Linked DNA regions of Callithrix jacchus. The protein of the gene in region 2 binds, or shares a complex with, the protein of the main gene of each other region. Links are inferred from orthologs where the notes say so. Each region holds a gene or a part of one and is shown on either strand. Other genes may lie near its edges. The genes, in order: USP39, LSM7, LSM6 and LSM2.

Region 1 (7,954 bases), on a different chromosome or scaffold from region 2:
CAGGCTGGTCTCAAACCCCTCACCTTGTGATCTGCCCACCTCGGCCTCCCAAAGTGTTGGGATTACAGGCGTGAATCACTATCCCCAGCCTTCTGGGTGTCCTTCCCTTCCTCAGCGTTCCTGTCTTGATCCTACCTGAAGGACAGCGTTGGCATAGTCATTGGCCTTTATGTTATTCAGTCCCACGATACCCGGCAGGTAAGTGGTACCATCATATGCCCGGGACAATTTGGCTTGCTTGTCCAAGTTTGCAATTTGCTGCTTTGTAAAAGTGGGCTTCAATACATACTGTAAAACAAAAGAAAATTCTAAGTTGTTTAAGAGCTGAGTTCACAAGAAATGTCTGGAGCAGCTATTTCTGCAGAAACAAAAATGACTTTGGCCATGAACATCTCATGACACACGCAAAGAGTCCCAACCAATAGATGTAAAGACTGAAGTAACATGGGGTAGATCCTCTCCCATGACTAATCTACAAGGGGATCTCTGTGTTTAATCCAAAATCACTAAATCCCAGTGATTTTTGCAGACCTCAGGTCTGGTCAACTCATAACTGACTGCCAGAAACGATACAATACTCAAGTTTCTAACAGCAGTCTAAGCCTCAGAACCTCCCAGGGGCAGCACATGTACTTAGCTTTGGAGCAGGAGAGTTTCCTCCACGCTGGGTGAGACTGAGGATTTCCATGACTTTCTGGGACTGAAAGAGCAGGATCAGATGCTTCCCAGGTTCAGTCACCACAGTCATTATGTCACAGACTGGACAGAGGTCATCCCAAACTCACTTTGAAACACTGAATTTATTCCAGTTTCTCCCTCTATAATACTATCCATAACTTTTATTTTTTGAGACCGAGTTTTGCTCCTGTTGCCCAGGCTGGAGTACCATGGCACAATCTCGGTTCACTGCAACAGCCACCTCCCAGGTTCAAGCAATTCTCCTGCCTGAGCCTCCCAAGTGGCTGGGATTATAAGTGTGCGCCACCATGCCTGGGCAATTTTGTATTTTTAGTAGAAACAAGGTCTCATCATGTTGGACAGGCTGGTCTCAAACTCCTGACCTCAAGTGATCCACCTGCGTCGGCCTCCCAAAGTGCTGGGATTACAAGTGTTAGCCACTGCACCCAGCCTATGTATAACAATTTTAACCTCAATTATTAACAAACCTGGCAGTGGCTCATGCCAGTAATCCCAGTACTTTGGGAGGTCGAGGTGGGTGGATCATGAGGTCAGAAGATCAAGACCATCCAGGCGTGGTGAAACCCTGCCCCTACTAAAAATACAAAAATTAGTTAGGTGTGGTGACACACACCTGTAATCTACTGCTAAGGCAGTAGAATCGCTTGAACCTGGGACGTGGAGATTTTGCTGTAAGCTGAGATGGTGCCACTGCACTCCAGTCTGGCAACAGTGTGACTCAAAAAAAAATAGGCTTATAAAACTTTCGCAAGTAGAAAAACCAGTATTTCAAAAACTACCAAACTTTCCTTAAAAATAAACAGAACATGACCAACCTGTGCAACACAATGAGACCCCACCTCTTTTTTTTGAGGAGCTTCGCAGTTGTTACCCAGGCTGGAGTGCAATGGCACGATCTCGGCTCACCGTAACCTCCGCCTCCTGGGTTCAAGCAATTCTCCTGCCTCAGCCTCCCAAGTAGCTGGGATTACAGGCGCACGCCACCATGCCCAGCTAATTTTTGTATTTTTAGTAGAGATGGGGTTTCACCTTGTTGACCAGGATGGTCTCGATCTCTTGACCTTGTGATCCACCCGTCTCAGCCTCCCAAAGTGCTGGATTACAGGCGTGAGCCACCGCACCCAGCCGAGACCCCATCTCTATAAAAAAAGTAATAAATTTATCTGGGCATGATGGTACATGCCAGTAGTCCCAGTTACATGGGAGGCCGAGGTGGAAGGATCACTTGAACCCATGAGGTCAAGGATATAGTGAGCTGTGCTGGTGCTGCACTCCTGTCTGGGCAACAGAGTGAGACCCCATCTCAAAAACAAAAACAGAGCATTTGGCACCATGAATATTCCCCACATGCTGAAAAGAAAAATAATAATCAAAAGCCCAACACTAATCAAAGCCCAAGAGGACTTTCCATGTTCAGTACAATGAGTATCTCTTGGTCCAGGTCACAAACTAGAGCCCACAGATGATACATCTGTGGCTGGATGCTCTGGCCACATCATAAAATAAAAGCAGCCAGGAGCTGGTGTGCAGCTTGGTAACTACTGTCCTACACCACACCCAATTAATATCCCTACTTCAAAGTGTGGAAGAATAATTCATTTCACAAAAACACTTTCAACCCTATCAGAATACAGCCATATTTCTTCAGTCCTAGTCCTCAATGTTAAAGGCAGAAATGACAATCAGTTTCCCTGGTTCCTTCCAAAAGGGAAAGCAATCTCTCAAGGCCCAAAAGGACTGAGATTCTTCCCTGTCCTCAGGTGGAGCAGTCCCCTGGGAGCCCTGGGATGGCTCATAAAGAATGGACCCCAAACCAACCCTCTTAGACACACACCGTGATATCCTCCAATGAGGAATCGATGATCTCATAGTTGTCTGGAAGGCAGTAAAACTTGAGGGTATGGAGGTTGAGGAAAACATGGTGGCTAAACTGGACACTGTGAATGTAGGCATGAGACTTCAAACCGCGGCCTGTAGGGAAAGGGGAAAGGCTGTAACAGAAGGGCAGATCCTAGAAGGCACCGATCAGGTTTGCTTTTCCTTTCATTATTTTCTACCAGAACATGTTAGCATCCGCAAAAAACAAATATTATGCCATTCATAAAATGAATCCTCCACATGAACTTCTCTTATAAAAAAATGAGCAAGAAAAACTGGCACATTAGTTACTTCATTCCCTAGATGGTGTAAGACATTGACTGAGGAAACAAATTTCACTATTTCACATATAATATGTATATAACCTAATATATATAACCTATATATATATTATATATAGTTTCCTATATATATGAAATCAGAAATAGCCATGCATATATGTGTGAATAAATACACATATACACAAATACATACATATCCTATGACAGTCCATCATCACTCAGTCCTGAATTTCCAACTATCCATATTCAGGACAATGCTGCATCTATGTAACTTTTTTCATGTTGCTACTCCTTTCTAGAATCTCTCCCTTAACCATTCAAAATCCTATGTCCTGCCAATTCAAGTCCCACCTCAACTCCTCCATGAACTCAATATAAACACTCCGGCTAACACTGACTTTTACATATTTCAACTCCTATTGCCTTTATTTTTATTCACTGCCACAGTCTAGCAGAATCTTTAAGTTCTAACAGAACTTGCTGGTTGTTTTACATTGTCAACCTTGACTTCTTATAAGCTACTTATAACAGCAAAGAATATAGTTTTTATCTCTTTTTTATTTGAGACAGGGTCTTGTTACTTTAGCCAGGTGGGTCTTGAACTCTTGGCTTTAAGCAAACCTCCTGCCTTGGCCTCCCAAAATACTAGGATTACAGGTGCGAGCCACCATGTCAGGATGTTTTTACCTCATTTGAACCCTCCACTATACTATGTACGTGGCATCTGCTTGGTCTGAATAAGTTGAAATTATGCATTTTCAGAAAAGAATGGGGAAAAAAAAGTCCATGGAGATAAAGGATTAAAAAATAAAAGGGCAGCCTGGGTAATATAATAAAGCCTTGTCACTACAAAATAAAATAAAATAAAATAGCCAGATGGCGTGGTGCAGTGGCTCACACCTATAAATCCCAGCACTTTGGGAGGCCCCAAAGTGCAGACTGCTTGAGTTCAGGAGTTTTGAGACTAGCCTGGGCAACAGAGAAAAATCCCATCTTTTAAAAAAAAAAATGTGGCCCGGTGCAGTGGCTTACGCCTGTAATCTCAGCACTTTGGGAGGCTGATGAGTGTGGATCACTTGAGGTCAGGAGATCAAGACTAGCCTGGCCAATATGGTAAAACCCCATTTCTACTAAAAAATACAAAAATTAGCCAGGTGTAGTGGCGTGGTGGTGCATGCCTGTAGTCCCAGCTGCTCGGGAGGTTGAGGCAGGAGAATCACTTGAACTCAGTGATGCAAGTGAGCCTGGGCAACAGAGCGAAACTCCAGCCCAAAATATAAATAAATAAAATTGAAAAAAAAAATTGGCCGGGTACAGTGGCTCACACCTATAACACCAGCACTTTGGGAGGCCGAGGAAGGCAGATCACGAGGTCAGGAGTTCGAGACCAGCCTGACCAACATGATAAAACCCTATCTCTACTAAAAGTACAAAAAAAAAAAATTAGCTGGGTGTGATGGTACACACCTGTAATCCCAGTACTCAGGAAGCTAAGGCAGGAGAACAGACTGAACCCAGAAGGCAGAGGTTGCAGTGAGCCTAGATCATGCCACTGCACACCAGCCTGGGTGACAGAGGGAGACTCTATGTCAAAAATAAAAATAAAAAATTGGCTGGGCACGGTGGCTCATGCCTGTAATCCCAGCACTTTGGGAGGCCAAGGTAGATCACCTGAAGTTGGGAGATTGAGACCAGCCTGGCCAACATGGTGAAGCCCTGTCTCTACTAAAAATATAAAATTAGCCAGGTATGGTGGTATGCCTGTAATCCCAGCTAATTGGGAGGCTGAGGCAGGAGAACTGCTTGATCCCAGAAGGCAGGGGTTGCAGTAAGCCAAGATCATGTCACTGCACTGCAGACTGGGTGACAAAGCAAGACTCCATGTAAATTTAAACAAAAATTAGCTGGCAAGACTGCACCACTGCACTCCAACCTGGGTGACAGGGTGAGACTCTGTCTCAAAATAATAAAAAATTAAAAATAAGAAAATACATATATTAGAATCAAGAATCCAGTCTTTGATGTCATATGATTTGCCCTTTCTCCCTTTCAGATATATCCAGGCTCTGACCAGTCAGAGAACCTCTTGTTCGTTTTCTAAGAATATTTCAATTTCCTGGGAACAAATTGAAATTATTAGATATAATTCCTGAGAACAGCTTACTTTCTTTAAAAAAAAAAAAAAAAAAGTCCCTCTGGAACAGATCTGCAGCTAGCTCTAAAAGCTTAACAAGTTTGTAATTTTTAACACTCATTACCTTGAAAGTACTTGCCACACACCAGACAGGCGTAAGCATTGATATGTGAGAGGGAGATAGAACACAGTTTCTCAAAGTCAAAGTCCAGCACACTTCTAAGGAAACAAAACAAAACAGAAAAAAATAAACAATAGGATGGACATGTAGGAAGGCACTCAAATGAAGCAGTGTTGGCTCTGTGATGTTCAATGATACCACACAACAGCCTTCAGAAAACAGTTCACAACAATATATATACCGATTATTGGGGGACACTGATTATTCGGAGACACTGATTATTCCTCACCTCCACCTGCCATGCTCCAAAGCAGTGTTGAGGTGTCTCCACCAGACACCTAATAACCAAAAGTATCTTTCTCATTAGTGTTTGTAACCAGTTCAAGACTTCCCACTGCATTCACTTTTTCTAAAGGGAAAGTTACAAGTCAGACTAAGGTAAAAGGACCCCAACAGCATTCTGGAGGTGGAGAGGACATAAAAAGGATGAATAAATCTTTTCACAAAAGAAAAATGTATCACTTTAACCCAGGAGTTTGTGGCTACAGTGAGCTCTGATCCACTACTGCACTCCAGCCTGGGCTAGAGTGAGATCCTCTCTTAAAAAAAAAAAAATAATAATAATAGTAAATTTTAAAATAAAAACGTATTTTTGTCCATAAAAACAAATGGAAAGGCTGAAAAATTTTAGAATACCTACAAACAGATCTATTTATTCAAGTGCCAAGTGAGGACTAGGCAGAAAGGAACAAAAAACCTTACCTCCATTCAACCCACAAAGAGATTTATCCTCAAATAGTAATCTTAATTAACTGATAATGATCCCAAAGAGCTGTGCTATCTAATAAAGAAGCCACTAGACAAAGTGGCTATTAACAATTAAATTTAAAATAAGCTGTCCTGTTGGGTGCAGTGGCTCATGCCTATAATTCCAACACTTTGGGAGGCTGAGGAGGGTGGATCACCCAAGGTCAGGAGTTCGGGACCAGCCTGGCCAACATGGTAAAACCTCATCTCTACTGAAAATACAAAAATTAGCTGGGTGTGGTGGTCTGCCTGTAATCTCAGCTACTCAGAAGGCTGAGATAGGAGAACTGCTTGAACCTGGGAGGCGGAGGCTGCAGTGAGCCAAGATCTCACCACAGCACTCCAGCCTGGGCAACAGAGCAAGACCCCATCTCAAAAAAGCAAACAACCAAAAACAAAAACAGCTGTCCATCAGTAGCCACAGGAAACTGGTTCTAGGACCCCTTCAGATACCAAAATCTACAATGTTCAACTGGTTCTAGGACCCCTTACAGCTGGCCCTTTGTATCTTCAGGTTCCATATCCTGATACTGAGGCTGACTGTAATTCAATTAAATAAAATGTAAAAATCAGTTCTTCAATTGCAGGAGCACTGAAGCCACAAGTGGCTCATGCCTACCATAATGAACAGCCCTCGTGACCTTCTTTTCCCAGAGATGGGGTCTCACTTTGTCATCCAGGCTGGAGTGCAGTGGCACAATCTCAACACTGCAGCCTCAACCTCCCAGGTTCAAGCAATCCTCCTGCTTCAGCCCCCTCAAGTAGCTGGGACTACAGGAGTTCACCACTACACCTGGCTTATTTTTTGTAGAGATGAGGTTTTGCCATGTTGCCCAGGATGGTCTCGAACTCCTGGGCTCAAGCAATCTGCCCAACTCAGCCTCCGAAAATGCTAGGATTATAGGCATGAGCCAGAGCACCCAGCCATAACTTTTTTTTTTTTAAGTCTTTATAAAAGATGAGTCTCAAGCCAGGCGCGGTGGCTCATATCTGTAATCGCAGCACTCTGGGAGGCCAAGGCGGGCGGATCACGAGGTCAAGAGATCAAGATCATCCTGGCCAAAATGGTGAAAGCCCACTTCTATAAAAAAATAATTAAAAATTTAAAAAAATTTTTAAATAAAAATAAAAATTAAATTTAAAAATAAATAAATACGAGCCAGGCACAGTGGCTCACACCTGTAATCTCAGCACTTTGGGAGGCCAAGGTGGGTGGATCACCTGAGGTCAGGAGTTCAAGACCAGCCTGGCCATCATGGTGAAACCCCATCTTAAAAATAAATAAATAAAAGATGAGTCTCACTGGCCGGCCGCCATCGCTCACACCTGTAATCCCAGCACTTTGGGAGGCCAAGGCAGGTAGATTACCTCAGGTCATGAGTTCAAAACCAGCCTGGCCAACATAGTAAAACCCATTTCTACTAAAAAAATACAAAAACTAGCTGGGCATAGTGGTGGACGCATATAGTTCCAGCTACTCAGGAGCCTGAGGCAGGAGAATCACTTGAACCTGGGAGGCAGAGGTTGCGGTGAGCAAAGATCACACCATTGCACTCCAGTCTGGGCAATACAAGCAAAACTCCATCTAAAGAGAATAAAAAAAGATGGGTCTCATTATGTTGACCAGGCTGGTCTCAAACTTTTGGCCTCAAGTGATCCTCCTGCCTGCCAAAGGTCTGAGATTACAGGTGTGAGCCACCACACCCAGCTCTTATAAGAACAATTATATTATTATAGAAAATTTCCCTACAATATAGGTTGAAAAACATTCTACATGCCACGTGGGAATCAGAAAAAAGAATGTAATGATGCAGTAAACTATCTCAGCTTTCAAACAATGTTCAAGCCCCTTACAATTGGCCCTTTGTATCTTCAGGTTCCATATCCCAATACTGAGGCTGACTATAATTCAATTAAACAAAATGTAAAATTCAGTTTTCAATTACAGGAGCACTGAAGCCACAGGTGGTTCATGCCTACCATAATGAACAGCGCTTATAACTTTTTTAAAACAATTTGGGCTGGGCGCGGTGG
Region 2 (8,737 bases):
TTCTAAATAAAGTTTTATTGGAACGCAGCCAAGCCCATTCCTAAGGAAGAGTCTCCGGCTCTGGAGGTACAACAGGAGAAACGCAGCCACCCCACCAGAGGCCACACGGGCCACAAATCCCAGCAGAACTACTGTCCAGCCCTTCCCAGAAAACACCTGCCAAGCTTTGTTCAACGGGACCAGGGACTTTGGTGAAAGGTGTCTTTTGTGTAAAATGGGAACCGACAGAACAGCTTCTCTCTGAAAGGGTCATTTAAGAGCACAAAAGCACATTCATGCATTTTCCTCTGCACAATTCGGAAAACTGGTTTTCCGTTAAAAAACAAGCCTGAGCCTCTAACAAAGGCCAGAAAGCAGCGTCTCACTGTGAAGAGTCTCCTCGCCTGCCGAGTTAAAGGAACGGGGAGCAATTCTTCAACCGCCACAGCTCTAACCGGGTCCTGAGTTCTAGTCGGGCCCACAGAAATGTGGAAGGCCAGCGAAAGCTGGGGCAGGCCATGAGGACAGGCTCAAAGCCCAGGCCTCCAGCTCGGAACCCTTCCCAACTGCAGTGCGGACGCTTCGCAACCACACACAGCTTTAAAACCTTCTAGGAGGCTTAGAAACCCTGCTTCAGAATGACTGTGAAAGCGTCCGAGTCAAGGGCCTTTGACACAGGCACGTGACTCCAGAAACCGGAACTGAGGAGTTCCAGGAGCAGGGCCGGGTCCAGCCAGGTCCACCAGCTCCAGCTCAGACCTGCTGGGGAGCGGCTCCATGGTGGGGGGTGTCTCACTGGGGAGGTCAGATTTCTTGCTCAGAGTCACCAAATGGTAGCAAGTGAGCTGAGGACTCTCACCAAGCAGGTTCCTGCCCCTACAGCAAGTCTCATTCTTGGGCAATGGACTCCCATTTCCACTGCGGGAAGCACCGCCCCCTCCAGGCACGGGCGTCTCGGGTGTATTTACAATCAAGGTTGGGGGAGGCCCGGGAGCTCCTGCTTTCTCGTGTCACTCTGACTTGGCCTTTGGCTCTCCACACTCCGGATAAAGCTCAAGCTCCTCAGCCCTCCCAGGGTAAACTCCACGCCCCAGCACCCAGCGCCTTCCATGACTTGGCTTCCACCTGATGGCCTGTCCTCCAGCCAAGGCCCAATGCTCTGCCTTCACCCTCTACCTGGGGCCACTCATACCACGGCCCCCTCCTCTGTGCCCCTGCCCCAGCCTCTCTCCATGGCCCACGTGCAGGCCTCCCTGGTGGTGACATCTTCCAGGTGGAAACCCTCCGTACCAGCATTATTCCACTTTACACTGCAGCCGCAGCCCACCCCTTGCCAGCCCCAAATAGCCCAACGGCTCTCACCCCTCCCAGCCCCTGCCCATGCTGCTTCTGCTGCCAACATCCTTCCCCTTCTGCCAACCTGGCAAACTCCTACTCAGCCTTGGGAACACCTGCTTCGGGGCCGGGCGCGGTGGCTCATGCCTGTCATCCCAGCACTTTGGGAGGCCAAGGTGGGTGATCACCTGAGGCCAGAAGTTCGAGACAGCCTGACCAACATCTCTACTAAAAATACAAAAATTAGCCAAGCGCAATGGCGCACGCATGTAATCCCAGCTACTCGGGAGGCTGAGGTGGGAGAATCACTTGAACCTGGGAGGTGGAGGTTGCACTGAGCTGAGATGGCACCACTGCACTCCAGCCTGGGCGACAGAGCAAGACTCCCTCTCAAAACACACACACACACACACACACACACACACACACCTGCTTTGGAAAACCCTTTCCAGGCAAACTCCAGGAGGGAACCTTCCTTCCACCTCTGGTTCTTCCCTCCTTCCAAACGTCTGGGGAGTTGTAGGTCCCTGGCTGCAAAATGGGGGGACGTCCAGGGGGCCGAAAGAGCAGCAGGGGGTGGGGTTGTTAGAAAGCTTCTGCGGAGGGCTTCCAGGGTAAGAGAAACGGCCAGGGAGCCCACTGCAGGCTTCTGATAGCCAGGTCACAAATGCACGGACACACTCATCTGGATGTGACAGGGTCACTCCTGCTGTGTCGAGGCTGGACTGGGGACATGGGGGACAAAGGCAGCCACAGCAGGGGGAGGACGGCGGAGCTGGAGGAGTGGGGCTGAGAGAGCGCCGGTGGCAGCGACGCCTTAAGAGTGAGAACTCGGAGAGAGGAGTCAAGGTTAAGGGCCGCATTTGTAGGGCTGCGCTCCTAAAGTCAGGAGAGAGGGAAGATTTGGAAATAAGAAAATAAAAAACGCAGTTAGGGCAGTGCTATCTCGTAGACTGTCCCCACGAGAACCTGAGATGCTTTGCAGCAAACGACACACGATTAACATAACGAGGGCGTGCTGGCCCTGGGCGCTGGTCACCCTGGGCATCATCTCCAGAATCCACACCATCCTCAGCCTTCCTGCGGACGAGCAGCTGACGCTCCAAGCAGGGGATTCCCTTGTCCAAGGTCACAGACTAAAAGATGGAGCAGGGATGCAGCCCCAGAGCAGGGCTGGGCTCTTGGCCACTCCAGGGCGCTGCCAGACACTCGGGGACGCGCGGGACGCCTCTGGGTTCCCCACGGCACCCCCTAGGGTGAGGCTAGCCAGCACCCCGCCCGTTCCGCCTACGGGGAAACTGAGGCTCGGCGCGGGGTGGGCAGCCGCCTGCCCAAGGCCACAGAGCCAGAGACAGGCGACCCCGGCGGCGGCTGGAGACCCCGAAGAGGACAAGCAGAACGGAGGGATGGAGTGGGCACAAGCTTCAGACCCGGTAGGAAGTGAGGGGCGCTGCGGCGGCGCAGGGCCTCCGAGGCAGGGACGGGAGACGAGCCGGGGACAGCCCCGCAAGGTCACGGCCAGGCCCCGGCACCGCCGGCCAACGGCGCGGTGACCGCGGATCCCCGAGGCTGGAACCCCCGGAGACGACCTGGGTCGTTCCTGGGCGTAGCCCGGGGGCCGAGAGGCCCAGAAGCCGTAGCCTGCGGGGCCGTCGGAACCAACGCCGCGCTCACCTGGGCCGCGAGGAGCAGAAAGGGCGCCACAAGCCGCGCCAGCGCAGCCGCCGTCGCCGCCGCCATGTCGGCCGGTGCCCACCGCAACCGTCGACAGATGTTTCCCAGCAACGCCGCGAGACCCCGGGCCACGCATGCGCCGCGCATGCGCCTGCGAAGCCGGGAGGGGGTCAAAGGGCGCGGGGTGGCGCCTGCGCAGAGCGGCGCGGCGCGGCAAGATGGCGGTGAGCGCGCGGCGGGATCCGGAGCTGGGGGCGTGGGGCTCGGGCCGCGCTGCGCGCCTCACGCGCTCTGCTTTCCCCGCAGGATAAGGAGAAGAAGAAAAAGGAGAGCATCTTGGACTTGTCCAAGTACATCGACAAGACGATCCGGGTGAAGTTCCAGGGAGGCCGCGAAGGTGAGGAGGCTCCCGCCGTCGGCACCTCGCCTTTAAAATTCTGAAATAAACCCAGGAAGAGCGATGATGAGGACGCATGCATGCGGAGGCGCCGCTTTTATTTATTCTTTTCTTTTTTTTTTTTTCTTTTTTTGAGACCGAGTCTCGGTCTGATGCCCAGGCTGGAGTGCAATGGCGCGATCTCGGCTCACTGCGACCACCGCCTCCCGGGTTCAAGCGATTCTCCTGCCTCGGCCTCCCGATTAGCTGGGATTACAGGCGCCGGCCACCACGCCCGGCTAATTTTTGTGTTTCTAGTAGAGACGGGGGTTTCACCATGTTGGCCAGCCTGGTCTCGAACTCCTGACCTTAATTGATTCTCCCTCCTCGGCCTCCCAAAGTACCGGGATTACAGGCGTGACCCACCGCGCCTGGCCTCGCAGGCCCCTCTTTAGACTACCTTATGCGGTATTCCTACTTACACCGGGAGGTAGGAACTGGTATGCCCATTTTGCATGCAAGGAAACTGAGGCACGGGGCGGGAAACAGACGGAACCCAAAGTCACAGTGGCATAGCAGGGATTGGGATTTCAGGGTTGGCCTTCTGAGCAGTCCTGTGTGTCCAAGGGCTGCCCCAGCTCCCCACAGATCTCCCGGCTTCTGTTTCTCCCCCACCCATGTCAAGATCTCTCCCGGCACCAACAGTGTGGACACATTTGGGGCCGGATCATTCTCTGGGTTGGGGCCGTACCTGGGCACTGCAGGGTGCTGAGCAGTATCCCTGGCCTCCACCAAGTCGCGACAACCTAAACAGCCTCAGACAGGGTGGGCGCAGTGGCCCACACCTGTAATCCCAGCACTTTGAGAGGCTGATGCAAGCAGATCAGGAGCTCAGGAGTTCGAGACAAGCCTGGCCAATACGGTGAAACCCTGTCTCTACTAAAAATACAAAAATTGGCTGGGTGTGGTGGTAGGCGCCTGTAATCCCAGCATTTTGGGAGGCTGAGGCGCCAGATCACTTGAGTTCAGGAGTTTGAGACCAGCCTGGCCAACATGGCAGAGCCCCGTCTCTACTAAAAACTCAAAAATCAACCAGGCATAGTGGCACATGCCTGTAGTCCCAGCCACTGGGGAGGCTGAGGCAGGAGAATCGCTTGCGCATGAGAGGCGGAGATCATGCCACTGCACTCCAACCAGGATGATAGAACTAGACTTTGTCTCCAAAAAAAAAAAAAAAAAAAAGCAGAAAGGTCTGGTTCCTGAAGGGCTCACCTGATGCCCTCAGGCCCACCCAGGCTGTTTCCCTCCAGATTGGCTTACAGTCTGCTGGTTCCCGGGCTTCAATCACAGCTGCAGAGTTCCTTGTCTTCCTCACGTCACCTGACTGCAAGAGTGACGTCTTGTCCAGTCAGTCACATGCCCCAGGGGTGGGGATTCCGAACCTAGCTCTCCAGGGGAGAGGAACCTTGGGTGCACCCACCTGCCTCGGTGCTCACGTCTGTCCCCTTGAGAGGGGACTCTGGTCAGGCCAGTGCTGGGCACCTGAACAGATGTGTCTGGCCCCATTGTGTAGGTGATGAGTTTCTTTTTTTTTTTTTTTGAGACGGAGTTTGTGCTCTTGTCACCCAGGCTGGAGTGCAATGGCGCGATCTCGGCTCACCGCAACCTCCGCCTCCTGGGTTCAGGCAATTCTCCTGCCTCAGCCTCCCGAGTAGCTGGGATTACAGGCACGCGCCACCATGCCCAGCTAATTTTTGTATTTTTAGTAGAGACGGGGTTTCACCATGTTGACCGGGATGGTCTCGATCTCTTGACCTCGTGATCCACCCGCCTCGGCCTCCCAAAGTGCTGGGATTACAGGCGTGAGCCACCGCCCCCGGTGGTGATGAGTTTCATTTTGCAGGAGAGGAACTTGAGAGCACAGAGAGCGAGCTGGGGAGGGGGGCCCAAGCCTGGGCAGTCAGACCTTCTCTGTAGGCAAAGGCTGGTCGGCAAATACCTTCAGCTTTGCATCCCAGATGGTCTCTGAAACCAGTGAGCTATGCGGGGAGAGCGGGAGACCTGCCGTGGTCAGCGCTGGAGCGGGAGCGGCGCGTGTGGTGCTGGGCCCTGGGACTTTCACTACGGGATGGGCAGCGGGCCAGGTTGGCCTGAGGGTCATGGTTTGCAGACCCTCACCCCGCACCCCTCCCTGCACATGGCTGCCCTGGGTGTGCGCGGAGCGGCCGTGGGCCAGCTCACTAGGCCCCGCCTTTCAGGCAGACAGAATAATGCCCAGGGTGCCTGCTTCCTGGGATTGGGGGATGGTACAGTGGGCAGCACCCTAAGAGGTGTGGGTGGGTTGGTGTCTGGAGAAAGCACCTGAGAGGTGGCAGGGGTGAGAAGTAGGGTGGGGCAGCCACTGGGAAGCCCCTCAGAGAGCGCAAAAGTGCATCCTCGGCAGGAGAGGCCTGGGCCGGAGGAGCCTGCAGGGGAGGGGTGAGGCGTCCCAGGCAGGGAGGATGGGCCAATCACCAGACACTGGGGAGCAGGATCAGATGGCAGAGGTCACTGCCTGGTCAGCGCCCTAACCTTAGGTGGCGAGGCGTGACCTAAAGCGGCCAGGCTTGAGGGGCAGAGGTCTCGACCTAAGGCATCGAGGCCTGAGGGGCGGGGCAGGCATCGGGGAGAGGGAAGCTACAGCAACTGCCTCAACCCGTGAAGCCTGCGTACCCAGGGCTCGGGCATTTCCGTTGCCCACTCCCCGCAAGTCCTGAGCAGCGGGGCGGGAAGTTGTTCTTTTATATCCCATGAACTCGCTGAGGGACTCAGCACGGGTCAACGCAGCCGTCACCACTCTCAGAGCAGGGCAGTCTGTCTCCCCTGGAGGGAGCCCTGTCCCCTCCCCGGCCCTGGCACCCACACATCCCCTCCCTGTCTCTGTGGCTTGGTCACAGCGGGCGGCCTCCTGTGCACACACACCTTCTGTTGGTCTTTCACCGAGCGTGGCATCCTCAGGTGTGCTGCGGCCTGCATCAGCCTCGCTCCGCTCCTGGCTGGTGGCTCCACCTCTGCCGCCACCTGTTTTTCACCTGCTTTTGAGGTGACGATCGTTTTCATGGCTTTTAAATAGTTAAAAAGGGATCAAAAGAAGACTGTCTCACGATGTGGAAATTACATGAAGTTCACATTTCAGTGCCTGTGCGTAGAGCTGACTGGCCGCCGTCAGCCACACACGGCCTCATCACTGAGGCTGCTTATGAGCAGGCAGGCTGAGCCAGCAGCTGGGGCTGGCACCTTGGGCCCACACAGCCACAGGTGTTTGCCATCTGGGCCCCTGCAGACTGGGTCTGCTGTCCATCGGGGGTGTCGCTCTGGAGACCGCTGTCATCTGCCCCCCACCCCCACACCGGGAGCCCTCACCTACCCTCAGTCCTCCATCCCTGGAGAAGTTGGCACCACACCTGATCCACGCTGGGGTGGGCCCTGTGCCCGGGACGCATCTCACACGTTCTCATTTCTCTCCCCTGGTGACTTCTCCAAGCCAGTGGAATCCTGAAGGGCTTCGACCCGCTCCTCAACCTCGTGCTGGACGGCACCATCGAATACATGCGAGGTGAGGGGGCGGCCGTGGGGCTGCCTGCTGGCTCTTCCTCTCTCAGACCCACAAAACCTTACCCTGAGGTACCGACGTGAAGCCCCGTGACGGCTGAAGGACGGGCTTGGGCACTTACCATTCGTAGGCGTTTCCACAAAGCTGGAAACTCCATCATCCTGGGGCGCAGAGACGGGGGAGCTGGAGAGTGGAAGCAGCTGGGACTCCAGGTGCACGCCACCATGCCTGGCTAACTTTATATATTTTTAGCGGAGACGAGGTTTCCCATGTTGGCCGGGCTGGTCTCAAATTCCTGGTCTCAAGGGATCCTCCTGCCTCAGCCTCCCAAAGTGCTGGGATGGCGGGCATGAGCCACTGTTCCTGGCCCCTCACCTCACCTCTAACAAAATTAAAATAAAACATTTCACTGTGCTGGGCACACTTGAAGTGCCCAGCACAGTGTGTAGACACCATCAGGTGAGCTGGTCTCTAAAAAAGATTTGAAAAGCCTGGGGCCGTGGTTCTCCCCACCCCCCACCGCGTGGCCACAGAAGTGAGGGGCCGTCTTTGCCTCCGGCCTCCTGAGAGCCTGTCTGGGGCTTGCTGGCTCTTCCCTACGGTCCCCATCCCATATCAACAGCTTTTCTCTCTCTCTCTCTCTCTCTCTCTCTCTCCTCTGTCTGTCTCTCTCTCTCTCTGTCTCTCTCTCTCTCTCTCTCTCTCTCTCTCTGTCTCTCTCTCTCTCTCTCCCTCTCTCCCTCTCTCTCTGTCTCTCTCTCTCTGTCTCTCCCTCTCTCTCTCTCCCCCTCTCTCTCCCTCTCTCCCCCTCTCCGTCTCTCTCCTCTCTCTCTCTCTCTCTTTCTCTCTTTCTTTCTTTCTTTCAATGGAGTCTCACTCTTGTTACCCAGGCTGGAGTGCAGTGGTTCAATCTCGGCTCACTGCAACCTCCGCCTCCTGGGTTCAGGCAATTCTCCTGCCTCAGCCTCCTGAGTAGCTGGGATTACAGGCACGCACCACCATGCCCAGCTAATTTTTTGTATTTTTAGTAGAGACGGGGTTTCACCATGTTGGCCAGGATGGTCTTGATCTCTTAACCTCATGATCCACCCTCCTCAGCCTCCCAAAGTGCTGGGATTTCAGGCGTGAGCCACCGTGCCCGGCCCAGCCTCTTTGTTATAGGGTGAATGTTGGCCCCCTTGGGCTCTGGGGACCTTGCAGAGATCAGGAGGCCTGTGATGCTGTATTCTGGCTGCCTGTCTGATAATTTGGTCTCTGGCCCTGATACCTGAACCCCAACTCACGCTCGTGGTGCCCAAGGGATGCAGGTGGGGAGGTGAGAGCCAGAGTCTGGGGTGGGTGGGGGGTCTCGGAGGCCTCCTGGAGCTCCCTGAGTCCTCTGTCTGCTCCTCCCCAGACCCTGACGACCAGTACAAGCTCACAGAGGACACCCGGCAGCTGGGCCTGGTGGTGTGCCGGGGCACGTCGGTGGTGCTCATCTGCCCGCAGGACGGCATGGAGGCCATCCCCAACCCCTTCATCCAGCAGCAGGACGCCTAGCCGGCCTCGGGGGCGGGGTACGGGGCGGCATGGAGGCCATCCCCAACCTTTCATCCCACAGCAGGGCAGTGGCTTCGGGGTACAGGGCAGGCCTGAGAAACTGTCTCCCTCGGACTTCGCCACCGCTGCCACCACGGTGCCACCTGCTGGAACAGGAGCCCCTTCCTTTTTGTATAGGTTGAATTTTTGTTTTCTTAATAAAATTGCAAACCTCACTGTGTCCGAGCCCCAGAATCTGCTTT
Region 3 (7,954 bases), on a different chromosome or scaffold from region 2:
TTGGAGAAAATATTATTTTTAAGAGGCTGTGATGCTTTTGAAATTAACTTTATAGGAAGAATGGTGTCAAATTCCATTTTTTTAAAGTTAATAAATTCCTTATTTTTCGCAACTAAGATATGTTAAGGTGCCTGAAATATTTCACAGGTGTAGCTAACTAATTCATTAGCAGAGTGACTTGGTCTCTTGGGTTGCTATAACAGAATACCACAGACTGGGTAATTCCTATTTTTATTTTTTGCATTTTTAAATTTATTTCCTTAGAGTACAGGTGGTTTTTGGCTACATGTGTACATTCTTTAGCGGTGGTTTTGTGCATCCATCATCCAAGCACTGTACACTATACTGGGTAATTTTCAAAAACAGAAGTTTATTTTCTCTCAGTTCTGGTGGCTAGGAAATCCAAGATCAGGATGCCAGCAGGTTCAGTTGTCTGGCGGGCTGCATCCTCCGGAAAGGATGGAATGCTGAGTCCTTAGGTGGCAGAAGGCAGAGGGCAAGCCAGCATACTGTATGAAGCCTTTTTTTATGTGGGCCTTCATCCCATGAATGGGAAAGTGTTCATGGTCCACTCACCTCTTAAAGGCCCCACCTCTTAATACCGTCTTATTGCCAAACACTTGAATTTTGGAAGGGACACATTCAAACCATAGCACAGGGTTTTGTTGCCTTTTCTTGGTCTCTTTTCTGAATAATTAATAATGATAGTAATCTCTCAAGCTTTTTCCTTTGAAATCTCTATTGAGTATCCCCACCTAGTAAGGGAGGAGCTAGGACTCGAGTTCAGGCTTGGCTCATAAGCCTTGTTAAGAAAGCACTCTGGTGATTATGTACTCCTTTAGCTTCTTGACACTAATAACATATCTCCAGTTTAATTTTATTTTTATAGTAAAACTAATGGATTTATACTGAATACTGAGATACTACAATGTCTCAATTTACTGCCTCTACCTGTGAACTTTTGATGAGCCCATAGGAAGTGATAGATTTCTAGGGATTTTAGTCTGCTTGACAACTGATTAAAGTGAGGACATTGTGTTCAGTATCTTCTCAGTATCCACTTTATTGAAGAGATGAACCAGCCTGATCTTTTTTCTCTATACTCTTTAAGAAAAATTTTTCTGTTTATAAAGGCAATACATGTTTTAGTTTTAATTTTAGAAATTTAAAAGAAAATAAAAGAAACAAGTATATAGAAGAAAGCAAAGTCTCTCCAATGCTACCATCCAAAGAGTTTACCAATTTTGACCTCTATATAAGCATAATTTGATGTAAATGGAATCAGCTGTACATGAAACCTGATTTTTTTTTTTTTTTTTAAACATGAAACAATACATTTAGTTTTGTGACAGTATAAAGGTTTGTGTGGCTGTACAATAGTTTTGTTTTTATTTTTAACAAATTTCCTATTAATGGACATTTTAGGTGTTGACCAGTTTTTTACTACTGTAAACAACTGTTTTACTTTGACATACATTGTGAACGCTTGACCAAGCATCTCTTTAGAATCAATTCCCTGGGCTAGGATTTACAATCAGAGTATTCCATGGCCCTGCATCAGTGAACCTGGGTTTATCCTACATATTCTCACCAACTCTTGTATTAGCTTTTTCATCTTTTCTAATCTAATACTTGGCAACAAGTAATATCTCATTTTACATATATTTTCTTTGTTTACTAGTGAGATTCAGGAGTCTTTCACATGGATAGTAACCCTAATTTTCTTTCCTCATGTCTCTTCATGGCCTTTGTACTAATAAAGCAAAATATTTTTTACTATTAGCCTTACTAAAGGACCATGCTTATTTTATGGTTTACAAAACACTGATAAAAGCCCAAAACAAAACAATAACAACATACCAAAAAAAAAAAAACCTCCATCAACTCTCTGTAGCAATTTCTCTTTAAGAAAATGCCTTGTTTTTGGTTATGTATAGTGATTTATCTCATGAAGAAGGAAAGGGTTGTATTTCTAACCTTTTGGGCAGTTTGTTAGTGTGTGGATTTTTGTTTTTTGTTTTTTCTTTTTAGCCTTTGCTATGAGAATAGAATAGACATTTTAATTAGACGTGAACTTTTTTTTTTTTGAGATGGTGTCTCACTCTGTCGCCCAGGCTGGAATGCAGTGTCGCAGTCTTGGCTCACTAAAACCTCTGCCTCCCAGGTTCAAACGATTCTCCTCTCAGGTTCAAAAGATTCTCCTGCCTCAGCCTCCTGAGTAGCTGGAATTACTGGCACCTGCCACCACTTCTGGCTAATTTTTGTATTTTTAGTAGAGACAGGATTTCACCATTTTAGCAAGGCTGTTCTTGAACTCCTGACCTCAAGTGATCCACCTGCCTCTGCCTCCCAAAGTACTGGGTTATAGGCATGAGCCACCGTGCCCAGCCTGGACATTTCATTTTGAAATCTTTTCATTAGTTTTCAAACTTGCCTGTCTTGCCTCAGAAGTTTCTTGCTTATTTATAATTGTGGTTTATATGTAAAATAATACAGCAGGAAATGAGCTAAAGTTGTATCTTAAGCTTTCTTTTGCTAAGAAATAATTGTTATTATTCACAGTCCATTCTGGTTCTTTGAGAGTTTACAGCTTAAGCTGTCATTATAGACACAATTTTGAAAGGAAACTTTTTTTGTTTAGAGGATAATAGGGGCAGAGACAGAGAGTGAGGAGCATATTAATCAAGTGAAGACATCAGATGAGAAACTATAGACTCGTCTAATTCAATTGAGTCTAGTATTTGTTTTTACTTAATTTTTTTTTCTCTGGAAAATACCACTTTACATTAGAGACAGAATTAGAGGCTTACAGATTTTCATCTTTTGAGAAAGATCATCAGGTCAAATTTAATAAAATTTATACCATCTTAACACAATTAAAGATTCACTCAACCTGTTTCCTTGAAAGCTCCCTCAAATTTTTTTGGCCATTTTCTCTATTAGTTTTGATTGAAAAATATTACAGCTGTAACAAAACAGACCAAGATGTGTTATAATGCAATATGTTGCCCTATATTCTCAAGCTGCTCTTCACTCTGAGTCACAGCTTTAAGATGTTCTTTCGGGAGCACCTGCTGTCTCCTCTTCTATTATTTTAACAGATTGTGGAGACTTCTCTTAACCCTGGAGTACATTCATCTGCTGCAGTAGATGTGAAAGAATGAAATAAATCTGCTAGACCCATGTTTCACTTAGTGGCTAAAGTAGGAAATGCCTCTGGAACCTGAGATCATTTGTTCATGCATAATTGCCCACCTTGTGCTTAGTTTTCAAAGAACGGTATTTTTGTTGGAATATTCTTTTGCTGTGTGGTCATACATGCCATGAGGGAAGTGACGGTTTGTTGTTTTACCGGTTAGTAGTGGGTGCATGACTGCCTTCCTAGCCTTCATTCAGATTGGCATAGAGTTATTTTGTGCTTAAGCTACTGAGTTTCATTTATTGTGTGAATTTTTATGTTAAGCATCTGAGAGCTGATGAACAAAGAGATAGTCTGCTCTAAGGTATACCCTGTAATTTTCAACTCTTACTTTTCTTGTGTATCTTCTTTTTGACTGTCTGCAGGGGTCCTGGCTTGCCTGGATGGCTACATGAATATAGCCCTGGAGCAGACAGAGGAATATGTAAATGGACAACTGAAGAATAAGTATGGGGACGCATTTATCCGAGGAAACAATGGTAACATTTCTTCACCCTGCAGTACAGGATCCAAAATAAGCCTTTTTGTTTATAATCCAGATCACCAAAGAGTTTTCTAGATAATTTTAAAGTACAGTTTTAGGCTTATTTTAAAATGCTTATATGTCAGATCTTCAGTTTGACCAGTTATTTTTTAAATGCCTCATAGAATTTTGAAACTAAAATTTTCGCCTTCCCTTCCTTTAGTGATGAGGAAATGGGGGACATTGGTCTCTTGACCCGGACCCTGCTCCCTCAAATATCATTTACTGTGTCTCCCCAGCACATATTCCTGCTTCTCGTAGCCTGGAAGTTGGAGCTATAAGAATGGGCACCATTTCCTTGATGTCTTTGATTTGCATAATTTGGCATTTCATCTTATTTGTCCCTTCTTTATTAAACTTTCAAATGTATGGAGATTTGTACCTTTTGGTTTGGCAAAAATGGCAAAGTAGAAAAACTAGTTTAAAGTTTCTCGGTTTTTTTAAACAACTAATTGCTGTGATTTTTGTAGTTATTTTTAAGTACCTAGTTTCAACATGAAAATTATAATTAAGTCATATTTGTATTTTTGGTGGGGAAGGAAAGACATCAGAAGTATGAGAATTACCCCACTTTTGGTTCATTCTCCCAAATGAAACTCTGGGATTCTTGAGTTCAGATTTTTTATTGATTTGTTTAATTCTGGATGTCTTCAACTCCCTAAATAGTTGAATCTCCTTGCTATGAACTAAACTTCCTGACTTTTATAATAGATTCTGTCCCCTGTGCTTACTGTACCATGTTTCTTCAGATTATATTTTTATATATATGATCTCTTGGTTTTCTAGTCCTTCCTATTTATAGAATTATTTATCCTATTTTTCATATCCTTATTTGACTTCTTCTTTTTCCTAAGAAATGATAGAATTCTTTTCTCACCTCAAGACAGCTAATGGCAGCAGTCACCGACAGGTTGGCTTCTGTGCATGTTAGTAGGGGTTGGATCCTTTAACATGCACACTACACCTAGGACTTGAGGGGCAGAGTGGAGGGTGGTTGTATGGGCATTCTGATGCTTCCCTTCCTGTCACATTTCCTGTGATGTAATCAGTAACATTCATCTTTAGACTCCCAAGTTCACATCGTTGGCTTTTAAAGAGGATCTTGACTTATTTGATTGGGCTGTGCTATGTTCTTTGATGAAGACATCCTACTTTGAGCAGACCTCTCAGAAGCCGAATAGGCATGGAGGGTGGAAGGGAGAGCCAACTCTAGTGAAACTTGGCCAAAGTGACCCAGACATTCCATTTTGTTTCATTCCTACAGACCATACATCCTAAGAGTTCAGGTTGGTAGTCGTGAGAGGACCAGCTAAGCAGAATATTGGGTAACACCAAAGTATGAGACCTTAACAGGAACTCAGAAAAAGGACTTTGATATCATTAAAAAGAAAAAAAATCAAAAAATCCTGCTCTTGTTTATCCTGTTGCAATTAAGAAGATAATCAGCAAGTTTAGAGTTTGCGTTGGAGAGAGAGATGGAAATATGCTCTTTATTCTTAATTTGAGATCTAGCCTGGTAGGTGGATTGACCGGTTTACTTTCTGAAAACATCTTGTTTTTTGTTTGTTTGTTTGTTTTTTGAGATGAAGTCTTCTATGTCACCCAGGCTGGAGGGTAGTGGTGCAATCTTGGCTCACTGCAGCCTCTACCTCTCAGACTTAAGTGATCCTCTCACCTCAGCCTCCCATGTAGCTGGGACTACAGGCGCGTATACCAACATGCCTGGCTAATTTTTTGTATTTTTGGTAGAGACGGGATTTCACCATGTTGCCCATGCTGGTCTTGAACTTCTGAGCTCAAGTGATCCACCTGCTTTGGCCTCCCAAAGTACTGAGATTACAGGCGTGAACCACCATGTTCAGCCTGGAAAAGCATAATTCTTGCACTTCTAACTGTAAAGCATTCTTAGATGCCAGAGACTTTCACATATATTTTATTTGTCTTCATGGTCACACTTTGCAGAGTCACGCAGACACATGGATAAGATTACGATACAGTTTTATAAGACATCAAACTCGGATATAGATAAAACTAGTACTTCCAGAGTTAATTGAATGATACAAAAATTCCTTTTAAATGTCAGATGTAGCCGACCAAAATGTGTCTGCTTTTATTTATTTATTTATTTTTTAAATTTTTTATTGCATTTTAGGTTTTGGGGTACATTTCCAGAACATGCAAGACAGTTGCATAGGTACACACATGGCAGTGTGTTTTGCTTCCTTTCTCCCCTTCACCCACATTTGGCATTTCTCCCCAGGCTATCCCTCCCCAGCTCCCCCTCCCGCTGGCCCTCCCCTTTTCCCCCCAATAGACCCCAGTGTTTAGTACTCCCCTCCCTGTGTCCATGTGTTCTCATTTTTCATCACCCGCCTGTGAGTGAGAATATGTGGTATTTCATTTTCTATTCTTGTGTCAGTTTGCTGAGAATGATGTTCTCCAGATTCATCCATGTCCCTACAAACGACACAAACTCATCATTTCTTATTGCTGCATAATATTCCATGGTGTATATGTGCCAGATTTTCCCAATCCAGTCTATCATCAATGGGAATTTGGGTTGATTTCAGGTCTTTGCTATTGTAAACAGTGCTGCAATGAACATTCGTGTACATGTGTCCTTATAGTAGAACGATTTATAGTCCTTTGGATATATACCCAGTAATGGGATTGCTGGGTCAAATGAAATTTCTATTTCTAAGGCCTTGAGGAATCGCCACACTGTCTTCCACAATGGTTGAACTAATCTACACTCCCACCAACAGTGTAAAAGTGTTCCTTTTTCTCCACATCCTCTCCAGCATCTGTTGTCTCCAGATTTTTTAATGATCGCCATTCTAACTGGCGTGAGATGGTATCTCAATGTGGTTTTGATTTGCATCTCTCTGATGACCAGTGACGATGAGCATTTTTTCATATGATTGTTGGCCTCATATATGTCTTCTTTCGTAAAGTGTCTGTTCATATCCTTTGCCCACTTTTGAATGGGCTTGTTTGTTTTTTTCCAGTAAATCCGTTTGAGTTCTTTGTAAATTCTGGATATCAGCCCTTCATCAGATGGGTAAACTGCAAAATTTTTTTCCCATTCTGTTGGTTGCCGATTCACTCTAGTGACTGTTTCTTTTGCCGTGCAGAAGCTGTGGAGTTTGATTAGGTCCCATTTGTCTATTTTGGCTTTTGTTGCCAATGCTTTTGGTGTTTTGTTCATGAAGTCCTTGCCTACTCCTATGTCCTGGATAGTTTTGCCTAGATTTCCTTCTAGTTTTTTTATCGTGCCAAGTCTTGTGTTTAAGTCTTTAATCCATCTGGAGTTAATTTTAGTGTAAGGTGTCAGGAAGGGGTCCAGTTTCTGCTTTCTGCACATGGCTCGCCAGTTTTCCCAGCACCATTTGTTAAACAGGGAATCCTTTCCCCATTGCTTGTTTTTGTCAGGTTTATCAAAGATTGTATAGTTGTCGATATGTTGTGTTGCCTCCGGTGCCTCTGTTATGTTCCATTGGTCTATATCTCTGTTTTAGTACCAGTACCATGCTGTTTTGATTACTGTAGCCTTGTAGTATAGTTTGAAATCCAGTAGTGTGATGCCCCCCGCTGTGTTCTTTTTGCTTAGAATTGACTTGGCTATGCGGGCTCTCTTTTGGTTCCATATGAAGTTCATGGTGGTTTTTTCCAGTTCTGTGAAGAAAGTCAATGGTAGCTTGATGGGGATAGCGTTGATTCGGTAAATTACTTTGTGCAGTATAGCCATTTTCACGATATTAATTCTTTCTAACCATGAACATGGAATGTTTCTTCATCTGTTTGTGTCCTCTCTGATTTCGTTGAGCAGTGGTTTGTAGTTCTCCTTGAAGAGGTCCCTTACGTTCCTTGTGAGTTGTATTCCTAGGTATTTTATTCTTTTTGTAGCAATTGTGAATGGCAGTTCGTTCGTGATTTGGCTTTCTTTAAGTCTGTTATTGGTGTAGACGAATGCTTGTGATTTTTGCACATTAATTTTATATCCTGAGACTTTGCTGAAGTTGCTTATCAGTTTCAGGAGTTTTTGGGCTGAGGCGATGGGGTCTTCTAGGTTTACTATCATGTCGTCTACAAATAGAGGCAATTTGGCTTCCACCTTTCCTATTTGAATACCCTTTATTTCTTTTTCTTGCCTGATTGCTCTGGCTAGAACTTCCAGTACTATATTGAATAGGAGTGGTGAAAGAGGGCATCCTTGTCTAGTGCCGGATTTC
Region 4 (7,025 bases), on a different chromosome or scaffold from region 2:
AGAAAGAGAGACAGGGGAAGACTGAGGGATCCAGGCGGGTCCTATATTTGAGTAGAGAGGGGACCCTCACGGTAGCTCCTCCGCCGCAGACACCCGAGTCCCCCAGGACTAAGGGTCTGACCAGGCAAGGTGCCAGCAGTCGAGGACCTGGCTCTCAAGAGGGGTAGTAACAGTGGAGAGTACCTGGGGAGGAGGGACGTGGGGGACTACCCGTGATCGCAGGGCTTCGGGGAGTGTGGAAGGCTCTCAGGAGCGGGTCCGCGTCCACTTGGACGCGGGTTCGAGCCGCGTGTACGTACTGGAGGGAGATGGTCAGACTGGGCCGGGAATCCACCTCACAGGCAGGCGCCGGCCGCGGCTGGACCGGCCAAGCGGCCGGGGCGGAAAAGTCGGGCGGGCAGAGACGGATGGGCGGCTCACCGGGTGACCCTAGCTCCCTGAGACCGCCGCCCGGGCAGCCGGCGCCCACGTGTTCCCCCTTTGTGACAGGGAGCGTTTCCGGGCCTGCAGGTCCTGGCGGGGGCGGCCGTGCCCCGCCTGCGTGTGCCCGCTCCGCCCTGTCCGACGCTGTCCCGGGGACGCACCGCCCACCACCCACCGCGCTCACGAGCAACAGCACGGGCGCGGGGCGCTGGGCGCGGGCGCAAGACAACAGGACGCCCATGGGCACCACGCTCCCGTCAGGCGCTGCCACGGACACCTTGTGCGGGTCCTCGAACCGGGCGGCGAGGGCGGCGCCCAGCGGGCAGCCAGGGAACTGGCCTAAGAGGGTCGGCCGGCCTGCAGGGGGAGGCGTTCCCAGCGGTAGCGGGACTAGCCCACCTAGGAGGCAGTCGCCTGATGACCAAAGGGGAGGTCCATCTTCCAAAGCCCTAGCGTCCAGCTTCCCCTTTGAGCCTCATCCCATGTTTGAAAAAAGGGTCATGGCCGGGCGCGGTGGCTGACGCCTATAATCCCAACACTTTGGGAGGCCGAGGTGGGCAGACGCCTTTGAGGAGTCCGGGTCCAGCCTGGCCAACATGCTGAAACCCCGTCTGCACTAAAAAATACAAAATTGGCCGGGTGCGGTGGCTCCCGCCTGTAATCCTAGCACTTGGGAGGCTGAGGCGGGCCGATCACTTGAGGTCAGAAGTTCGAGACCAGCCTGGCCAACATGGTGAACCGTCTCTACTAAAAATACAAAAATTAGCCGGGTGTGGTGGCATACACCCACAATCCCAGCTACTTGGGAGGCTGAAGCAAGAGAATCACTTGAACCTGGGAGGCAGAGACTGCAATGAGCTGAGATCACACCACTGCACTCCAGCCTGGCTGACAAAGTGAGACTCCACCTCGAAATAATAAATAAATACAAAAATTAGCCAGGCCTGGTGGGTGGGCGCCTGTAATCCCAGCTACTTGGAAGCTGAGGCAGAAGTGCTTGAATCAGGGAGGAGGCTGCAGTGAGCCAGACTGCACTACTGCACTCCACCCTGGGCGACAGAGCAAGGCTGTTTAAAAAAAAAAAAAAAAAGAGGGTCACACTAGATGGTCTCTAAGGGTCCCTTAATGCTGAGAAGTCTCATCTGTATCACAACTCATATTTGCTGAATGAGTGAATGAAGTTTAGTAATTGCCAGTCATAACTTTTCTCCAACATATAAATTATGTTCCGTCTGTATTTATCTTCTATAGATATTCAAAAAACATGTACTGATTTGGTTGGATTGTCAAAGTCCGGTAGCATGAAATGCATCTTATAACATTGTCACATTAATGGAAAGACAGCAAGCACTCCAGTTGCCAGTATGGTATAAGCAAAACGCCGAAGGGAGAACATGCAGACAGAGGCATGTTGGGAGAAACGTGGTGTAGTGCAATTGTTATTATACGCTTTATACCACGGAGAGTAGTGGGAAGCTGAGTTGGATTCTTGGCTGGGTTAACAGAGAGTAACAAGGGCCTGGATGAATTCAACATCCTTTTCCACCACCCAGCACCCAGCCCCAAACGTAGTACAAAACCAGAACACGAATTTGCATCATAAATTTTATTCCCGATGCGGGACAGATTCCTTCCATCCCTAAATGAATGCCCTGGAAATACTTAGGAAACTCTCCCACCATCTCCAGGGAAATAGTAAGAAAGGCTGGTGCTGGGGACTGGGAAGGCTTTGAAGTTTCCCAGCCTACTCATCCTCCCCTTCTCAACAGAGGAGAGCTGTTCCCTATTATTCCTCTCATCCACTCATCCCTTTAAAAAACCCACAAAATCATCATTAGTAAAAAACAAACAAACAAAAACCCTTAAGTATTGGGAGTTAGGGGTTCTTGGCTGGGACTTGGGGTTCTGGGTCACCAATGCAAGAGGGAGGGGAAGAGGAGGAGGAGCTATCACTGTTTCTGCTGCAGGGCTTCCTTCCTTGCCGCATCCTGCAGCAACTGTGTGTCGACCTCGTCTGCTGGCAACTGCACGTAGCGGACCACTGAACCCCGAATGAAACAATTCTTCACTGATAACTAGACAAAGATGGACAAATGTGAAAACACCCTTAAAAATGTCCTCTAACCACCCAGGAGCCTCCTGCTTTAGAGGTGTTTCCTCTTCTCCATAGACCCCAACTCACCATGTGAGGATATTTCTCAGGGTCTGTAACACTGATGTCAGTTAGTTTGATGTTGAGATACTAAGAAAGGAATACGAACACCATTATTAACCCTAGAGATATGATGTAAGTACCCAACCCTTAAGCTCTCCCCTCTCCTTCCCCAGGAACCAATTCTGGGCCCTTGCTATATCTCACCTGATCCACAGAATGGAGGGTTCCACAGATGCTGTCAAGGGCAGAGAGAGAAAAAACAAATTAGTTTATAACAAAGTCAACATAAAGGTGACTTCAGAGCTGGGATGAGAATATGATTGGGAAAAGGCAAGGACTTGAGGAAGTCAGAAAAGGTAGAACCAAAAGGGGACATTCCTAAGCCTGGAGTAGGAAAGATGGCTACAGAGTGGTTTAATTTCAACCCCACATCTCCTCTCCTTAAACCATTCTTTTTTTTTTAGATGGACTCTCACTCTATGCAGTGCCACTATCTCTGCTCACTGCAACCTCTGTCTTCCAGGTTCAAATGATTCTCTTGCCTCAGCCTCCTGAGTAGCTAGGACTTCAGGTGTGCGCCATCATGCCTGGCTAGTCTTTTATTTTTAGTAGAAGTGAGGTTTCACCATGTTGGCCAGGCTGGTCTATAACTCCTGACCTCAGGCAATCTGCCTATCTTAGCCTCCCAAAGTGCTGGGATTACAGGTGTGAGCCACTGTGCCCGGCCAAACCAACCTATTCTTAATAGCTACCATTAAACAACTGGTAAAGACTAGACCTGTATTCTGTTATCTTTATAGCCATCTTTTGAAGTAGTTATTACCTTCCATGGGCTCAGAGAAGTTTTAAACCTGAGTTTAGAACAAACAGGAACTTCAGTCCAAGTCTGTCTGACTCCCAACATCATCAACAGTTTTTTTTGTTTTTTTTTTGAGACAGGATCTCACTCTATGGCCCAGGCTGGAGTGCAATGGCATGATCATGCTCACTGCAGCCACTTGAGCAGCTGTTGTGATGACAGGCATGTGCCCCCATGCCCAGCTGATTTTTTTTTTTTTTTTTTTTTTTTTTGTAGAGAAAGGGTCTCATGGTGAATGTTGCCCAGGCTAGCTATTTTCAAACATTTATTGCTTTGGAACCAGAGTCCCATATGTAGATAAAGGTAGGAAGGTAGCATTACTCTTGATGATGCAGGCACAAGTGATATCCTCTCCATTCTCCAATCCTCAAGCCCCTTGAGATGCTATTTGAGTAATGGTATCAAAACACCAGTGCTCTTTGGGAGAATGGTGCAAAAATTTAAGAAACAGCCTTTGGCTGGGTGCAGTGGCTCACATCTGTAATCCCAGCACTTCGGGAGGCTGAGGCAGGAGGATCACTTGAGGCCAGCCCGGACAAAATAGCAGTGCCTGGGCAACATAGCAATACCTCATCTCTATTTTGAAGTTATAAAATAATCATAATAAATAGCTGTTTTAAAAAGTCCTTATCTTGCCAAAAATAAAGTTAGCAGTTCTCTGCCGGACCCTAAGTTTTGTAAAAATTCTCAAAGTATTGAGCTGGGCGCGATGGTTCATGCCTGTAATCCCAGCACTTTGGGAGGCCGAGGCGGGTGGGTCACGAGGTCAAGAGATCAAGACCATCCTGGTCAACATGGTGAAACTCCGTCTCTACTAAAAATACAAAAAATTAGCTGGGCATGGTGGCGCGTGCCTATAATCCCAGCTACTCAGGAGGCTGAGGCAGCAGAATTGCCTGAACCCAGGAGGTGGAGGTTGTGGTGAGCCGAGATAATGTCATTGCACTCCAGCCTGGGTAACAAGAACGAAACTCCGTCTCAAAAAAAAAAAAAAAATTCTCAAGTATTTAAAACCCAGTGTCTGGGCCGTGCAAGGTGGCTCATGCCTGTAATCCCAGCACTTAGGGGTGATGAGGCGGGTGGATCATTTGGGGTCTGGAGTTTGTGACAAGCCTGGCCAACATGGTGAAACCTCATCTCTACAAAAAATACAAAAATTAACTGGGCATTGTGGCAGGCAGCTATAATCCTACCTACTCGGGGAGGCTGAGACAAGAGAATCACTTGAACTCGGGAGGCTGAGGTTGCAGTGAGCCGATAAGAGTAGTGTTACTGCACTCCAGCCTGGGCAACAGAGTCAGACTCTTGTCTCAAAAAAAATAAAAATAAAAAAAATAAAGGATAAACAGAAAACTAATGCCTGCACTGCTTTTAAATCTCCTCCCACTTGTATCTTTTATTTTAATCTTATTTCAGGACTTAGACTAAATGCTGTATTTTTGAGAGACTTCTCCCTGTCCTTCTAGCCCCGTAGAACCTTCTATCAGAGAGTCTATATTCTTCCTAATGGGTGCTTCTCATTTTGTAGAAATAACATTTGCTGTTTATGGCCTGTTCTTTTTTTGTTTTGAGATGGGAGTCTCACTCTGTCGCCAGGCTGGAGTGCAGTGGTGCAATCTTGGCTCACTGCAACCTCCACCTCCCGGGTTCAAATGATTCTCCTGCTTCTGCCTCCCTAGTAACTGGGACTACAGGTGCGGGCCACCACGCCCAGCTAATTTTTGTATTTTTAGTAGAGACAAGGTTTCACTATATAGGCCAGAATGATCTAGATCTCTTGACCTCGTGATCCTCCCACCTCAGCCTCCCAAAGTGCTAGGATTACAAGTGTAAGCCACTGTGCACCATGCCCATCCTATGGCCTGTTCTTTTTTGAGACACAGTCTCCCTCTGTCACCCAGGCTGGAGTAAAGTGGTATAATCATGGCTTGCTGTAGCCTCGACTTCCTGGGTTCAAGTGATCATCCCACCTCAGGCTGGGATTAGTCCCTAATAACTGGGACTACAGACATGCATCACTACACCTGGCTAATTTTTAAATTTTTTGTAGAAATAGAGGTCTCACTATGTTGCCCAGGCTAGTCTCAAACTCCTGGACTCAAGTGATCTTCCTATCTCAGCCTCCCAAAGCACTGAGGTTACAGGTGTGAGCCACCATGACCAGCCTAGTATTTACTTTTTTTTTTTTTTCCCAGATGGAGTCTCACTCTATCATCCAGGCTGGAGTGCAGTGGCACAATCTCAGCTCACCGCCATCTCTGCCACCTAGGTTCAAGCGATTCTCCTGCCTCAGTCTCCTGAGTAGCTGGAATCACAGGCGCCTGACACCACACCTGGCTTATTTTTGCATTTTTAGTAGAGACAGGGTTTCACCATCTTGGTCTGGCTGGTCTTGAACTCCTGACCTCGTGGTGACCACCCATCACGGCCTCCCAAAGGCTGGGCTTACAGGTATGAGTCACCTCGCCCAACCCGAGAGCCAGGGAGCCTGGCTACTAGTACTTACTCTTTAAACTATATAATGCTTTGTATTGTTTTCCAATACACAGCATAATCCCAAGCTTATCTGTAAATTTAAGGCACAAGGCACTTATTTTTAAATTTTTCTTAGAGATGGGGTCTTGCTCTATTGCCTGGGCTAGAGTGCAATGGAGTAATCATTGCTCACTGCAGCCTCAAACTCCTGGGCTCAAGCGATCCTCCCTCCTCAGCCTCCCAAAGTGCTGGAATTACAGTACTGAGCCACTGAGCCCTACCCATTTATTTCTTCCTTATATCTTCCACCTCTCCCAGCCTTCAAATAGTTCTCAAATTAAAGAGGTTCCAGGGCGTTGGGCACACCCACCCCCAACAGACTTGTTGGAACAGGTACCTACCTCAGGTCATTCTTGAGTTCCACGACCACATCCTTGCCCACAAGGGACTTGAAAAAAGAATAGAAGAGCTATTGGGTGAGAGGGGGAAAACCATCATGTGGGAAGGAACATGGTAGGGAGGAGTGTCCCTTGCCAGTATTACCAAACACTGGTATTGTGAACCCCACTGCATCTCTGACAGTTCTCAAAACTTCACAGGAAAGAATAATCGGCTGACAGAGGTGAAAGGCTGGAGCCTATATTATTCCACACACTGCATTGAGCCCATCACTTAAAGTTCCAGAGAGGCTCTGCCCTGCATACGTCGGCCCAAGTGTGCTCTCTCAGTCGGCCACCTTCCTGGGGTCCCTGCCCACTCCTTTCAATGAACTGCAGAAAATATCCCACCCCCACCCGCCGGAAGCCTGCTTGGTCTCCGGCAGATTAAGTGCTCTAAGGTCTAACTTTTCTGTCTCCCGCTGTCCCCATTGACTCTCTCTCAGGGTTGAGTTTTTTTAACCTCCCATGGAAAAAAAAAAAATTCCCATTTGCTTTCAGGTATCTCCTCAACGAACTTGAGGCACAAGACTAAGGACCTAAAACTCCAGCCCAGGGGGACAAAGGCCAGACTCCCCGCCCCAACCGTCCGAGCTCCCCGAGGGCACCACCTTTTGACTTCACAGTACCCACCATGGTTTTGGCGCCGCGGGCAGCGGGCCGGACCGGGAAAAGA

Evidence for each region.
Region 1: LSM7 (region 2) and USP39 share a complex: the UniProt entries of both Homo sapiens proteins name them as parts of the U4/U6-U5 tri-snRNP complex. The link is inferred for Callithrix jacchus from reciprocal best matches to the Homo sapiens genes LSM7 and USP39.
Region 3: LSM7 (region 2) and LSM6 share a complex: the UniProt entries of both Homo sapiens proteins name them as parts of the precatalytic spliceosome. The link is inferred for Callithrix jacchus from reciprocal best matches to the Homo sapiens genes LSM7 and LSM6.
Region 4: LSM7 (region 2) and LSM2 share a complex: the UniProt entries of both Homo sapiens proteins name them as parts of the precatalytic spliceosome. The link is inferred for Callithrix jacchus from reciprocal best matches to the Homo sapiens genes LSM7 and LSM2.

Annotation. Positions count from the first base shown.
Region 1 is NC_133515.1:27,398,820-27,406,773, forward strand, and holds part of USP39 (ubiquitin carboxyl-terminal hydrolase 39), read right to left. Parts: intron 5,212-7,954; coding exon 5,117-5,211; intron 2,671-5,116; coding exon 2,534-2,670; intron 289-2,533; coding exon 136-288; intron 1-135.
Region 2 is NC_133523.1:2,190,361-2,199,097, reverse strand, and holds LSM7 (U6 snRNA-associated Sm-like protein LSm7), read left to right. Parts: upstream 1-3,118; 5' UTR 3,119-3,122; coding exon 3,123-3,212; intron 3,213-3,294; coding exon 3,295-3,385; intron 3,386-6,887; coding exon 6,888-6,959; intron 6,960-8,352; coding exon 8,353-8,495; 3' UTR 8,496-8,710; downstream 8,711-8,737. Other genes in the region: SPPL2B (signal peptide peptidase-like 2B), read right to left, coding at 2,989-3,054. UniProt on the Homo sapiens protein: Plays a role in pre-mRNA splicing as component of the U4/U6-U5 tri-snRNP complex that is involved in spliceosome assembly, and as component of the precatalytic spliceosome (spliceosome B complex).
Region 3 is NC_133504.1:50,807,738-50,815,691, reverse strand, and holds part of LSM6 (U6 snRNA-associated Sm-like protein LSm6), read left to right. Parts: intron 1-3,564; coding exon 3,565-3,678; intron 3,679-7,954. UniProt on the Homo sapiens protein: Plays a role in pre-mRNA splicing as component of the U4/U6-U5 tri-snRNP complex that is involved in spliceosome assembly, and as component of the precatalytic spliceosome (spliceosome B complex).
Region 4 is NC_133505.1:39,302,461-39,309,485, forward strand, and holds the end of LSM2 (U6 snRNA-associated Sm-like protein LSm2), read right to left. Parts: 5' UTR 6,986-7,025; coding exon 6,983-6,985; exon of another isoform or gene 6,851-6,982; intron 6,382-6,850; coding exon 6,314-6,381; intron 2,814-6,313; coding exon 2,783-2,813; intron 2,666-2,782; coding exon 2,606-2,665; intron 2,499-2,605; coding exon 2,373-2,498; 3' UTR 2,015-2,372; downstream 1-2,014. UniProt on the Homo sapiens protein: Plays a role in pre-mRNA splicing as component of the U4/U6-U5 tri-snRNP complex that is involved in spliceosome assembly, and as component of the precatalytic spliceosome (spliceosome B complex).